2 linked regions of the Caenorhabditis elegans genome follow. The protein of the gene in region 2 purifies or fractionates together with the protein of the main gene of each other region. This does not show direct contact. Each region holds a gene or a part of one and is shown on either strand. Other genes may lie near its edges.

Region 1 (5,458 bases), 6.1 Mb from region 2:
TGCGGTGACCTGGATTTTGCAACATGTGCATTCGAGGGTAAAGGAAGAAGGGAAATTTGAAAGAAACATTTGAAATGGGCATGTAAGTTAAGTTAAAGTTTGTCCAGCTATTCTATTTTTCAGGAAAAAAACTGCATATCTTTTACGAAAGCGATATCAAAACATCTTCGAAAGGACAGATTGAAAAGTGAAAAAAAGATAACCTAGTTTTTTTTTGAGACGGAAAAAAGTGACCACCAATTAAAAAAAAACTGTATCGATGCTGCATATGGGGTCACTTAACAAATGGGCTGCTGTTGCCAAAATAAAAACATAAAATTTATTAGGCATATGGTTTAACAAAAATAATGAATTATGCGGTATTTTTTTAGGTTCACGCTTCTAAAATTCATGAAATTAACATTCAAAAAACGGTTTAACTATCTCAAAAAATTCCCCCCCCCCCCTCTAAATTTTTACAGGCTTAAAAGAGGGAGGGTACCGAAATTCGGGCTTTGCTTTTTTAACTCAAATGGTCCAAAACTACCAAATTTCAAAATAAGACGTTCTGTTCTCAAAAAAAAGTTATGATTTGAAAGAAACGTTCATTTTTTAGCTAATATCTCAACTTTTTTGTAGCTTCCAAAAATGTATAGAAAGTGTGCCCGCATCGGCAAAAAAACATCTTAATTAACGAGATAACTATAAATTGTGAAGACATTAAAAGATAATAATTGAATGAAAATTAAGCTCCACACTGAAAAATTGCCCAGTTTTTCCAAAACTTTGAGCGGCACCATAACTTTTGGTTGAGAAATTTTCAGAACGTCTCATTCCAAAATTTGGTAGTTTTAAGCCATTTTGGGCCTAAAAAAAGCTACGTCTCAAATTTTTGTACTCCACCTTTGAACGATTACACTCGAATTCAGAGTTTTTGGGAATAGCTGGAAGTAAATTTTCGGTCGATTGGTGTGCTAATTTGTCAACTTTTGAGCACTTTTCAATCGAAAATGCACATAAAAGAGGAGTATCTACTTTGGGTTTTTTCTTTGTATAAACTCAAAATCTGCCTAAATGCACTAATTTCGTAATGAGAATTCTCAAAAGTGTCTCAAAAAAAATTTAATTTTTTTATAGAGGTGCAAAATTTCGAGAAAATTATGTCCTTATTTTTAACTTAAAACCCAAATTTTGCAAATAAGTCCGTGCCGCAAAGGTGAAAAATTTTTTTCTACTTCATTCTTTATTGCACATGTCAATCTCTTTTGAATACCTATTACTTAAATTTTAACTTAATCAACGAAATGTTGTAAGATAAACGACCAATTTGGCATTTTTTATAACTATATTTAGGTAACTTTTTTTTTCGGAAACCTTCCAACATCATGATGTAAGTTCAATTTTTTCTAACAATATTTTCACCTAATAACTTTGTTTTTTTTTCAACTGTTAACATACAAAAATCTTTAGAACTTATAGATTTTTTACATAGTTATAACGTTATTTCCAACATTCTCTGCAATATTTTTTCACATTTCCACAAGACTCCCATTCATCTTTTCTCACTGTGTGTCAGCCGCCTTCCCTTTTTTGCGTTATCTCGTTCTCTCCACCGCACTCTTTCGCAATGGGCAGCGGCAACACTGCACCGGTAGTACGTCAGCAACTACTCTCGAGAAATGCGCCAGCTGCGCACTTTTGTCTGTTTACACAATTGGTTATTATTATTTTTTTATCGGTTCTTGTTCATTACAATTTTTGAATAACTTTGATAGTTACTTATTTTTATTTCAGAATTTGGTAATTAATAGCCAAACGGGGAAAAATGCAACACAATGAGTGCCTTAACACAAATATTAATCCAAACTCATTGAAAGTCGATAAAGAGGTAAATATATTTTCATTTTCATGGTTTCATAATTCACTCAATCAATATTTCAGCTGACTCAAATGGCTCGTGACATATCAACAAGAATGAACCAAAGAATGACACAAGTCGAGCGTAAAGCCAATGATTTGGAAAAGTTTTCGAGACTTGTAGCATTACGAGTTAATAGTGCAGCATCACGGATGGCCAATCTTAAAAATCACAAAGCAGTTAGGCAGGTCAGCATTTTTTTTTAATTTTGAAGTCATTGGACCCAAAAATTTCAATTTAAGTACAAGCCTCCCACATACCTCATAAATTTTCCATTTTTTCAGGTTATTTCTACCCAAAACATTCCAAATTCTGAAGACATGCGGGTTGATAGCAGAAAAAGCAGCGGGTTCACTCAGGAATTTTTGGATTCTTACAAAAACGCAATTATCAATGCCGGAAACACTATGAACTTCCTGGTGAGTATTTTCATTCATCAAAAAACTTTTAAAAAATCTCTAACTCCAGGAAAATCCAACAGTCTTCACGTCCGGATATATTGGAGAGCAGTCTGAAACCAATGGTAATGCAAATGGACAAAGTGCCAGTAGACCACAAGCCAATAGGAATAGACAAAGAGCATCTAGCTCAGATGAAGATGAAGTTGTGGAGTCTAGTAGATCACGTGTGGAAATCGGAAATGGCGTAGAGCAGCCAAAAATCGATATAGGTCCACGGGTAGCACAAACCGTTGAGGAGCCGGTGACACTGGCAGGTGGGGTTTTTCAATTCGAAAATGATGTATCCAGGAAGTTACATTTTATAACTCATATTGAAAGTTCAAGGTAGGACAACGGAAAGAACGACGTTTTTCCGTTCATAAGCGGATACGAATTTGTTATCAAGCCTAAATCTTATGGAGTAGTGTCGGAAATTAAAAAAATGTAGAAAAATGATGTCACGTCTGAAAAACTTGTACTTCAATGTAGCTGTGACGTCATTTTTGTACACTTTCTTATTTTCCGACACTTCTTGAATAACCCTTTTACACAAAACGCCAATTCACAGGAACAATTTTTTAGCCACCCGCAACTTCTTCGCCAAACTTTTGCTACTTTCCCAACCAGCTTTATACATTTTTATTTTATTGAACTTTATTTCTTTATAAATACGAGAATATGCCCTGACATGAGAAATTCACAAAACTAAATTTGTTTTTTTCAGCTCCGCCACAGCCAAAGCCACCAAAACCATCTCCATCAACTACTGCCATCTTGGTAGATCAAGTCGGTCAAAATGGGATTCAACACTCACCTCAAGACGTACCGAAAGAAGTTGCTAGTATCACTTCACAAAACGAAAATAGCCTGGCAGAGCATCACAATGAGAAATTGGTATCCGAAAGTGCTATGCCAATTGAGAAGGGCCCAACGAGACCGGCGGCTATGGCTTCAGTGATTGGGGAAATGAAGAAAAAGGTTGCCGCAAAAGCCAAGCTTTTGGACTCTGATTCGGATACGGATCGTGAGCCGCTTGGTAGTAGTGAGACCGAATCGGTGACCGTTAAAAAACTGGAGACAAGCACGGTTGAAGTTGTGAAGACCAGTATTTCTGCTGATCCGGTGATTGTGATTGGCCATCCAAAAATTGAAGTCATCGCTGCAGTTGCAACGGTTGCAAAAACTGAAAAGCCAGCCGCTTCAAAGGTTGTTAAAATATTTATAACAATAAACTCGTAATGAAATTGTATTTCAGGTGCTTCCAAAAGCTGTGGCTACTCCTGTGAAACCGGCTGAAGCGACTCCAGCGAAACCAGACGAGTCTGCTCTGTCAAGAAAAATCTTAGCAAATGAGTTAAAGCCAGTGGACACTAAAAAGCTCGTGTCAAGCTTATTTGACTCCGACTCTGACTCGGACACGGACATCTTCAAGCCAACTACATCAATCAAGAAGCAGCCAACAGAAGTTGTCAAGAAATCGGTGCCACCCAAGCCTGTTGAGGTCAAGGTTAGTGAATAGAGTGAATAGTTGTTTGCTCAGCTTTATATTTCGCTCATCACGAAGCCACAATTTTTTTTCCGAAATGTCATGCTCCTATTTTCACAATGTTATATTTTACAGAAAGTAGAGACTCCAAAACCTTCTCAGCCACCTCAAGTCAAACCCACAAACCATACTGCTGTCCCAGCCACTAAACCAGTTGCGAAAAAATCTTTGTTCTCATCAGATTCGGACTCTGATGACGACTTTTTAAAGTCGTTCTCAAAATCAAAGCCTGTTGCTAAAACGGAATCCATTCCCGTTGTGAAGAAGCCTATTGAGCCAGTTGTTGTTCCAAAAGCTGTTGATATTCCAGCGGTAAGTTTTGTTCTAAATACACTGGACAGAGTATGTAAATTGCAGCCAAAACCAACACCTGTCACCAACACTACCGCAGTAATCCCCAAAGTAGAATTCAAAAAACCAGCCGCCAAGTCACTCTTTGATGATAGTGACTCTGACTCAGACTTGTTCTCTCTACCCACAAAACCGAAAACACCAATCGCTCCCAAAAACAGAAACTCGTCAATTGTCACTCAACCTGAAATGGTATGATTGATTTCTGAAAATACATATGATTAGCGTTTTTACTAGCTTTCAGGAACCCTCATCATCTGAACCAGCAAAACCAGCAAAACCATCAATTACCAAAAAAGAGCCACCAAGCGAAACAATGTCTGCAAAAATATCACTAATAGGAGACTTACAAAAATCATTCCGTCTCCCGGGTTCTACACCTAACATTCCTGTCAAAAACTTACCGGTTAGCGATGAAAATGATGTCGCTGCTGAGAATCCAGAAGATCACGTCGGTAGTATTTTGAAGGTAGTACATAGTCTGTTATTTGAAACACCAAGAAAACCTTTCAGAGTCGCTGCCGAGGTCCTTCAAACCGCCGTCCACCAACTCGTCCAAATGCGTCGTCGTCAAACTAGTTGAAATTTTTATAATGGGTCTAACATGTGAATAAATATATGAAGATTGTGAAAAGTTATGTAAAAATTGCTATATGAACATTTTACAATTTTTTTCTGGTGTGTAAATTGTCTCAAAATATCGAATTTTGTGAAAAGAACTTTTAAAATGTGGCCAACTAGAATCTAGAACTTCTAATGGCGCAATCTTTTTAGTGTTGTAGGTTCTGTGATTCAGATATATTTTTTGTCGATAGATAACTAGAGAAAACTAATTTCCGGCCGCTATGCCACAAAAGAGCTGGCAAAGTTTGAGGTTTCAAACTGCCAAAAAGCATTGCCAAGAACTTATTAAAAGGGCACATTAAAGAAAAAATTAGGTTTTGAATTTGACATTAGCAAGTCCTTTGAAGCTTTCACAAATCTTATGAATTCTCAAAAACTATTTATTAAAAAAAATACAATTTTTTAAATGTTTCAGAAATAACTTTATTTTTTTGTGTAATTTATTTTTCACAGTTGATTCAACAGTATTTATTTTTTTTGTACATGGAAGTTATGCGATGATGATCATGGGACAAATATCAATTATGGAATGAAGTGGATTGTGAGTTTTTGGTAAAAGTTTGCTGACATGAATTGTTTTACAATACGAAAGTAGCAAAT
Region 2 (6,700 bases):
TGTATTTTACAGTTTTATTCTAAATAAATTACTTGAATATAGGCAATAAACTATTTTACGTACACTATACAAGAACCAAACGTTAATGTTAATATGCAAAAGTAGGCGGCAGGTAAGCACGTAGGCTTATAAAATTTCCGCCAAATAAGACAATTTTACAAAGTGCAATGTTTTTCAATGTTATAAAATTTGATTATGGCTTTATTAGAATGTCAATTCATGGTAAAACATGGAATAAATGTGTGATAATGAGGAGATGTGGTAATTTTTAAAAGTACAATGAAAAAAGAAAACCGAAAGCTATGCAATCAAATTGAAATATCACAGTCGCGAGAACTCTCTTTGTTAGTGCACAACACGGGAACACACAACAACATGGAAGATTTTGTTCATATGAACTCACAAATTTGGGTGACAGATAGAAACATGTAAAAATGGTAATTTTGGCAAGAATCAGATGTTCATAGATCATTAGAGAGGAAAAAGAGATCATCAAATAAGATGTGTAGTTGGTCATCCATTAAAATAATTAAATGCTCGCTTTTTTGGCAAATTTCACCCAATGCTCAACTGTTTGCCGCCCCAAATCTAGCACGATAGATTTCGCCTCTCGTTCGCTGTCAAATCGGGATGATCCACCTTGATTGTGAGCAGATTCCAATTCTTTTGTGAACTGTAAAAAATTAATAATTTCAGCGGAACTTTTTTTAAAATTTACTGATACTAATTAGAATGGTTTACACATATTGATGAACTAAACTCTGAAGAGTAGATACATAAAAAAAACTTTATTCCAATTTTTTTTAAACAGTAACATAATCGAGTTTTCAAGATTTTCTCAATAATGTTTTGTTTGATGCAATTTATTACTCCATTTAGTTTTAATTGTTGGATGGTATGTATACTAACTACTCTTGAGCATTACTGCCTTTCACCTTTATGAGTTTAGTCATCACTTTAAAAATTTTAATAACCGTTCTTTAAAACGTATTGAAAGTTTTGTCTCAAGCTGTTTTCGTGTACAAAAAGTAATGGGTTAAATTAGAATAACTTTTTTTTAAATGAAAAATGGTGCGATTGAAAATTTTTCAATTCCGACTCTCGATACCTCGCTTGCTATGCATTAAGTTTATCAAAAAATATGTCTTTTTTTTGGGTATAGATTAAAGCTTAAGCTTTAGAAAAGTTTAGTATACCATTTTAAATTTTGAATAACTAGAAAGACAAGTCCTTACCTCTGGCTGGAATGGTTCATCATCGCTACTTTCCCTCCATCCCTCACTGGAATCGTACAATGGGTTGACTCTCATTATGAACTCGCATAGCTGCTCAAAGTCTCGACTCTTCAAATAACAATTATAAAAGTTTAAAGAATATGTGCTCGTGCAACACTCACCTGCATTTGCAGTGAATTGCGCACAAAATTACCGTCCCTGTTTGTACGGCCCGATCGAGCTGATATTCGCGTCGATTTCATTCCAGCTGCGTTGGATCGTCTGGAAATTTTCGAAATATTGAATTAAAATGTCGTGAATATATTTTTTTAGCATTTCGAAAAAGAAACAAGCATACTTAGAAACATTATGTCGCCCATGCATTCTGAAGGGGTGACTCGATCTTCGTTTTCTGATTTGATATCGAATCGCCGCACATGTTAAGATTTCTTTGTATGTCAAGCGCATTCTGTCATTGAAATATGCATAAATAAATGGGTTACAGGTATGATTGCACAACCATAACTGAAAAAATAACTTTGCAAGTTTCAATTTTAAGTTTAGAAGTTTTGAAGCTTACGAGATGAAGAATAACTAATTGCCACCCGGAAAGATATTCAAATGCATATGGTTTGATGAAAAAGAGAAATGTAGAAATTGTGCACAAAATTGATGGGTAGAAGAATTGAAACGTCAGTCGAGCCTTGAAATTGCCAGTTACAATTATTTCATTGAGCGCTAAAATTACCTGTTTCCTGAATCTGTTTGCTGAGTTTTGATTAAGTTTGTTTTTGCTGATTTTCTTTTTTACTTGACGAATTTTCAGCAAAACCAAAGTTGAGCACACCCATTGAGCTCCAAGACCGAGCAGATTTGCAGCGCAAAGAAGTGTGAAAAACAGGGCTAGAATATCAAAAATTGTACATTTTTAATTAAAAGTGCAACATACTCGTGTGAGGTCTTGGTTCTAAAAAACTGATACTCCACATAGTTCTCTGTATTCCAATCATTGGCTGGGACAGTGTTCCAACAAGTGCCGCTGCAATTCCGACTATCCATGTACTTGCAGAACAAGCAACAGCAACTGATACTTGATTGAGTGCTCTTGCTTTAGTTCCATAATAACATATTGCAATGCATCGGTTCGTTCCTAGCATTGCGTAGCTGATCTGAAAATATGAATTACTTTAAAGCGTTAATTATAGAAAAAGTTTCAAATTTTTTATTTAAAAAATTTTCTTCAGGTTAAGATTTTTCTTTTCGCTTGGAGAATGTTATTTTAAAGATATTAAAGCAAAACTTAAATTTATTCACTTCTGGAAAAATTAATAAAGGTAGGTTTTTTCTTGGTACAAGAGTGAGCTGACAAAGCCTCCTGCGGATAAGAGATTTGTCAGGGTTACAGGTGGCGTTTTTACCTCTTCTCGTCTCAAGCATGCCCGATTTACCTGCCTTGAACCAATTTCACTACCCACTTTCCGAGCCGGCTTGGTGAGCCTTTGGGTTGGGTGGGGTTGATCTTACGACCTCTTAGGTAAAAGTGCTACACCACCACCACTTAGACACTCGTGCCCCCTAAAACTGAGTGTACTAATATTTTTTGAAATATTTTGTAATGTTTTTATAGTTAAGTTAGTTTACTAACAAATATTCATAGATTCTGAGAGGTAGGCTATAGTTTTTTTTTTTTAACTTTTTTGCAAAACAAAAAATTTAGGTATTCAAAGAACTTATTTTTTGGAACAAGATAGTGTTCTTTCTGAGTTGAGCCCCCTTTTGTTAAATATATGTCTGCAATTTTTCTTGCGAAAAGGAAGTATGTCACTTTTTTTTCATATTTTCTCTGAAATTTAATATTGGTGACATAGAGGCCCGCCTTCACTTATGCATATTTTGCAGTTAAACACTGACCACTCCAGCTGTCCATGCAGCGACAAATGAAAACGAGAGCACCGCGTGAATATTTCCAGTCTCGAAACCAGCTGCTGATGAATCTGTTTTTGAGTCGTTTCGGAGCGACACAGGGGCAATCTATAATAAAACGTTCAGATAGTGCAGCTTGAACTTGAAAAAATTAAGAGATGTCGAAATTTCCAAAAAATAGATTTCTTGAAAAATTACCTTCTGGTATGGTTCTTCAAGACTGGGAATGAATGACGTGAGATCATTTGGATTTGGCCACATAACATCCATCCCGCATGCTACACCAGCTGAAATTAAATTCTATTATTTTAAGTATTTTGCAAAACTTAAAAAAATGTGTTTATCATTTTGAATTTTGAAACAGCAAATTTTTTAGGATGAAACTATTCAGCAAACCAACTTAAATCGAAGAAAAGGTAAAACGTGGCCGCGTGGGGCAATGGATAACGCGTCTGCCTACGGAGCAGAAGATTGTAGGTTCGAATCCTGCCGTGGTCGTAACCTTTTTAAAATTCGTTCTCTCTTTTTTAGGAGTACGGTTTGCCAATTTTTCAAAAAACAAAAGTCGATGTGTCAAAAATTATTTAGGGGGCACCCGGAGTTGAACCAGGGACCTCTCGATCTGCAGTCGAATGCTCTGCCACTGAGCTATACCCCCATGTGGTCAGCAAATATTTGACTTTTTTAAGAAAAGAGAGAGGGAATTGGCGGACAAGAATCATTGCAGAAAAGATAATGATAAATGGAAATCAATCGGGCTGAAGTAACAGCGCTCTATTGAACTACTTGCTAGGTTACAGTTGTTGTTCAAAAAGTATTTAGGGGGCACCCGGAGTTGAACCAGGGACCTCTCGATCTGCAGTCGAATGCTCTGCCACTGAGCTATACCCCCACATTCGTTCACGCTTTGGGCTTTAGAGAAATGATGGACAATTTGTTGAGAAAAAACCAAAAGCTGTGTGGGAAATTGGACAAACGCAGACACGGTCAGTTGTCCATCCCGGCGTATTTGTCCTTCACGGAGAACGTCCAAAACAGTTTATTTGGTCATATCTCCGCAAAATGTCAATCATTTTCCCGTAGCTGGATCACTTTTGTACATGTGGGGGTATAGCTCAGTGGCAGAGCATTCGACTGCAGATCGAGAGGTCCCTGGTTCAACTCCGGGTGCCCCCTATATACTTTTTTCTTAATTTTGGGATTTTTTACCAAATGACTGCAAGCCGTACAGCAGAAAATGTATATTAGCCGAAAACATCGAATAAAAAAATTTAAATGTTTTCGACCACGGCAGGATTCGAACCTACAATCTTCTGCTCCGTAGGCAGACGCGTTATCCATTGCGCCACGCGGCCACGTTTCGGTGTGACTCAGATTTCACTTTTTACCCCCTAGAAACATTTTATCAAGTTTTTTGTGATACTGATGATCAGGGGTGAGCGGAAATCGAATTTTCGGCTATTTCGGCAATTGGCGAAATTGCCGAAAATTTCCGATCGCCGTGCACAGCAGTTGATGATATTGTAAAAAGTTTTCAACTACTAATTTTTTGTGAAAGTTACCAATTAACATGACAATACTGTCTGCCAGTGCTACATTTGCCATTATTGTGTATGCGGAAAGGCGAAACACTCGGTTGGTCAGAATCATGATAACCGTTGTTACATTGCAGAAGACTCCCAAGAGACCTGCAAAAAACTTTTGTTCGAGAATTTTCATTGTATTTATAGAGTATATAGGTTTCTCCTAGTCTCCTAGTCCCATCAGTAATAAGACCCATCAGTAATAAGCACTTGTAAATGATTCACTGTGCGCATCGAAAAAAATCCCGGAGGAATTTTTTTCAATATTACCAAATAGAACAAATGAGAAAATATATTTTTAATGTTTCCAAAAAAAAACAGTACGCCCCGACTTACCAACAGCTGTGTATGCCACACCGACAATTGAGATGTATGAGTCGAATGTGAAAAACGAGATCATATCGGCCCGATGTCTAGTAACCGACTCCATTTTTCCTTGCAACGCTACCACATACCGTGGAACAATTGATCACTGTTACTAAAAAAATTGTTGAAATTGGAAAGTAGAAATGAGATAGAAAATAAGAATGGAGCTAGAAAATGTGGGTTGAGTCAATGAGCTAGTAGAAGAGGAGGGCATGTGCTTGAGAGCTCAAGAGCAACTATTGAATGTCACTATTTTTCAGTCAAGAATTTTTAAAGCTTTAACAGGCCTGCCTACGAGAATGGGAACATTACTTGCCAAAATGTTGTCTTCCAACAGATTAGTTAAAATGAGTGAGCGTGAAATGTGTCAAACACCGAATACTGATTTCAAAAATAGAAGATAGGTAGGTAGGCACGAATGAACACGTGATTGCCTGCTAGGTGAGATTAATGACAAAACGAAGTCGAAAAAGAAGACGTTGTAAACTAAGGTAAACAAGATACTGGAAGTAGCTTATCCCATTCAAACAATATTCCATTCAAATCTATAATTTTTTAGATTCATAAGATTTCATTTACAGAGGAGTATATAGAAAATAATGACGATATTGAATGTTTTGTTGTCAGGGGCGTGCAATTGCAATTATTGAGCAAAAATCTTATTTCCTTTAATTTATGGTGAATGAGATTTGGAAAAAAAGTGTTGCTTCAATTTTCCAAAGCTAAAAGCTGAAGCGTATTTTATTTTCCTAATAAATTCGAAAATTCCGAAATAGAGTAAAATTGCCTACAGACCAGACACAATAATTTCTTTTAACATTCATTTGACAGTGGCATTATCAAACTTCAAGTCCTGATTTTTTCAGAATGAAAAAAAAAACAGCTGAAACTTTTCAAGACAAGAGTCAAGTGCGTCGGACGGTTGCCAAGAGCTGCAGACACGTATACATGCATAAATGCAGCTGGTACTAAACTTTGAAGTGCTCTGAGGTGATATGTTTTACAATAGGATATCAAAATATATATAGCTTTTTTGGGTATTGTGTAAAACAAGGTTTGAGCGAGTTTAGTAACCAACTCGATACGGGGAGCCATAAAATCGCTCACACAGCGCTCCAATATCTAAAAGTGGCTCGGTTTCTTTTTTCTTTCAGTGTCATGGTGTATAGCTTTTCAACTCAGTGAAATTATAACTTCTGGTGAGAAGGGTGGCATTTATCTTGTATCCAAGCACCCTTCAATTGACGTTTCAATTTTACAAAAGTGCTTGTTTTGGTGTTTGAGAATGAGGGAACATATAACGTGAATCTATGGGGATTGTGGTGTAGAGGGGTTAACCTTTTTTTTTAGCAAAACTTGAGAATCGCCTTTAAACTTTAAACAATTTGAATTCAAAACCTTTTTTATTATCTAAATGTGCTTCAAATTGCTTCAAGTGGATCTAATATATAAAATATTAAAAAAAACGAAAACCCCTTTTTATGGAAAAATTCTTTTGATTGATGAAAAGTGCGCAACACACAGCTAATAAAACGCAAAAAAGAACAATTACGTTATAACTAAATTTCGGACGCTACAATACATGTAAGAATAGTTTCAGACTCCAATTACAGT

What was found. Proteins that work in one complex are often made in the same cells at the same time.
Region 1: the proteins of K01A12.3 (region 2) and wshc-2 fractionate together in Caenorhabditis elegans (co-fractionation; one large-scale study listed by BioGRID). This does not show direct contact.

What each region holds. Positions count from the first base shown.
Region 1 is NC_003284.9:14,745,536-14,750,993, forward strand, and holds wshc-2 (WASH complex subunit FAM21), read left to right. Parts: upstream 1-1,767; 5' UTR 1,768-1,804; coding exon 1,805-1,867; intron 1,868-1,920; coding exon 1,921-2,085; intron 2,086-2,181; coding exon 2,182-2,316; intron 2,317-2,365; coding exon 2,366-2,612; intron 2,613-3,061; coding exon 3,062-3,543; intron 3,544-3,592; coding exon 3,593-3,844; intron 3,845-3,958; coding exon 3,959-4,195; intron 4,196-4,240; coding exon 4,241-4,426; intron 4,427-4,471; coding exon of another isoform or gene 4,472-4,478; coding exon 4,479-4,703; intron 4,704-4,747; coding exon 4,748-4,813; 3' UTR 4,814-4,907; downstream 4,908-5,458.
Region 2 is NC_003284.9:8,620,041-8,626,740, forward strand, and holds K01A12.3 (putative G-protein coupled receptor K01A12.3), read right to left. Parts: upstream 5,151-6,700; coding exon 5,057-5,150; intron 4,826-5,056; coding exon 4,700-4,825; intron 4,500-4,699; exon of another isoform or gene 4,411-4,499; intron 4,326-4,410; exon of another isoform or gene 4,242-4,325; intron 4,030-4,241; exon of another isoform or gene 3,958-4,029; intron 3,796-3,957; exon of another isoform or gene 3,724-3,795; intron 3,636-3,723; exon of another isoform or gene 3,563-3,635; intron 3,425-3,562; coding exon 3,336-3,424; intron 3,246-3,335; coding exon 3,126-3,245; intron 2,384-3,125; coding exon 2,164-2,383; intron 2,118-2,163; coding exon 1,795-2,117; intron 1,740-1,794; coding exon 1,573-1,739; intron 1,497-1,572; coding exon 1,397-1,496; intron 1,344-1,396; coding exon 1,236-1,343; intron 674-1,235; coding exon 530-673; downstream 1-529.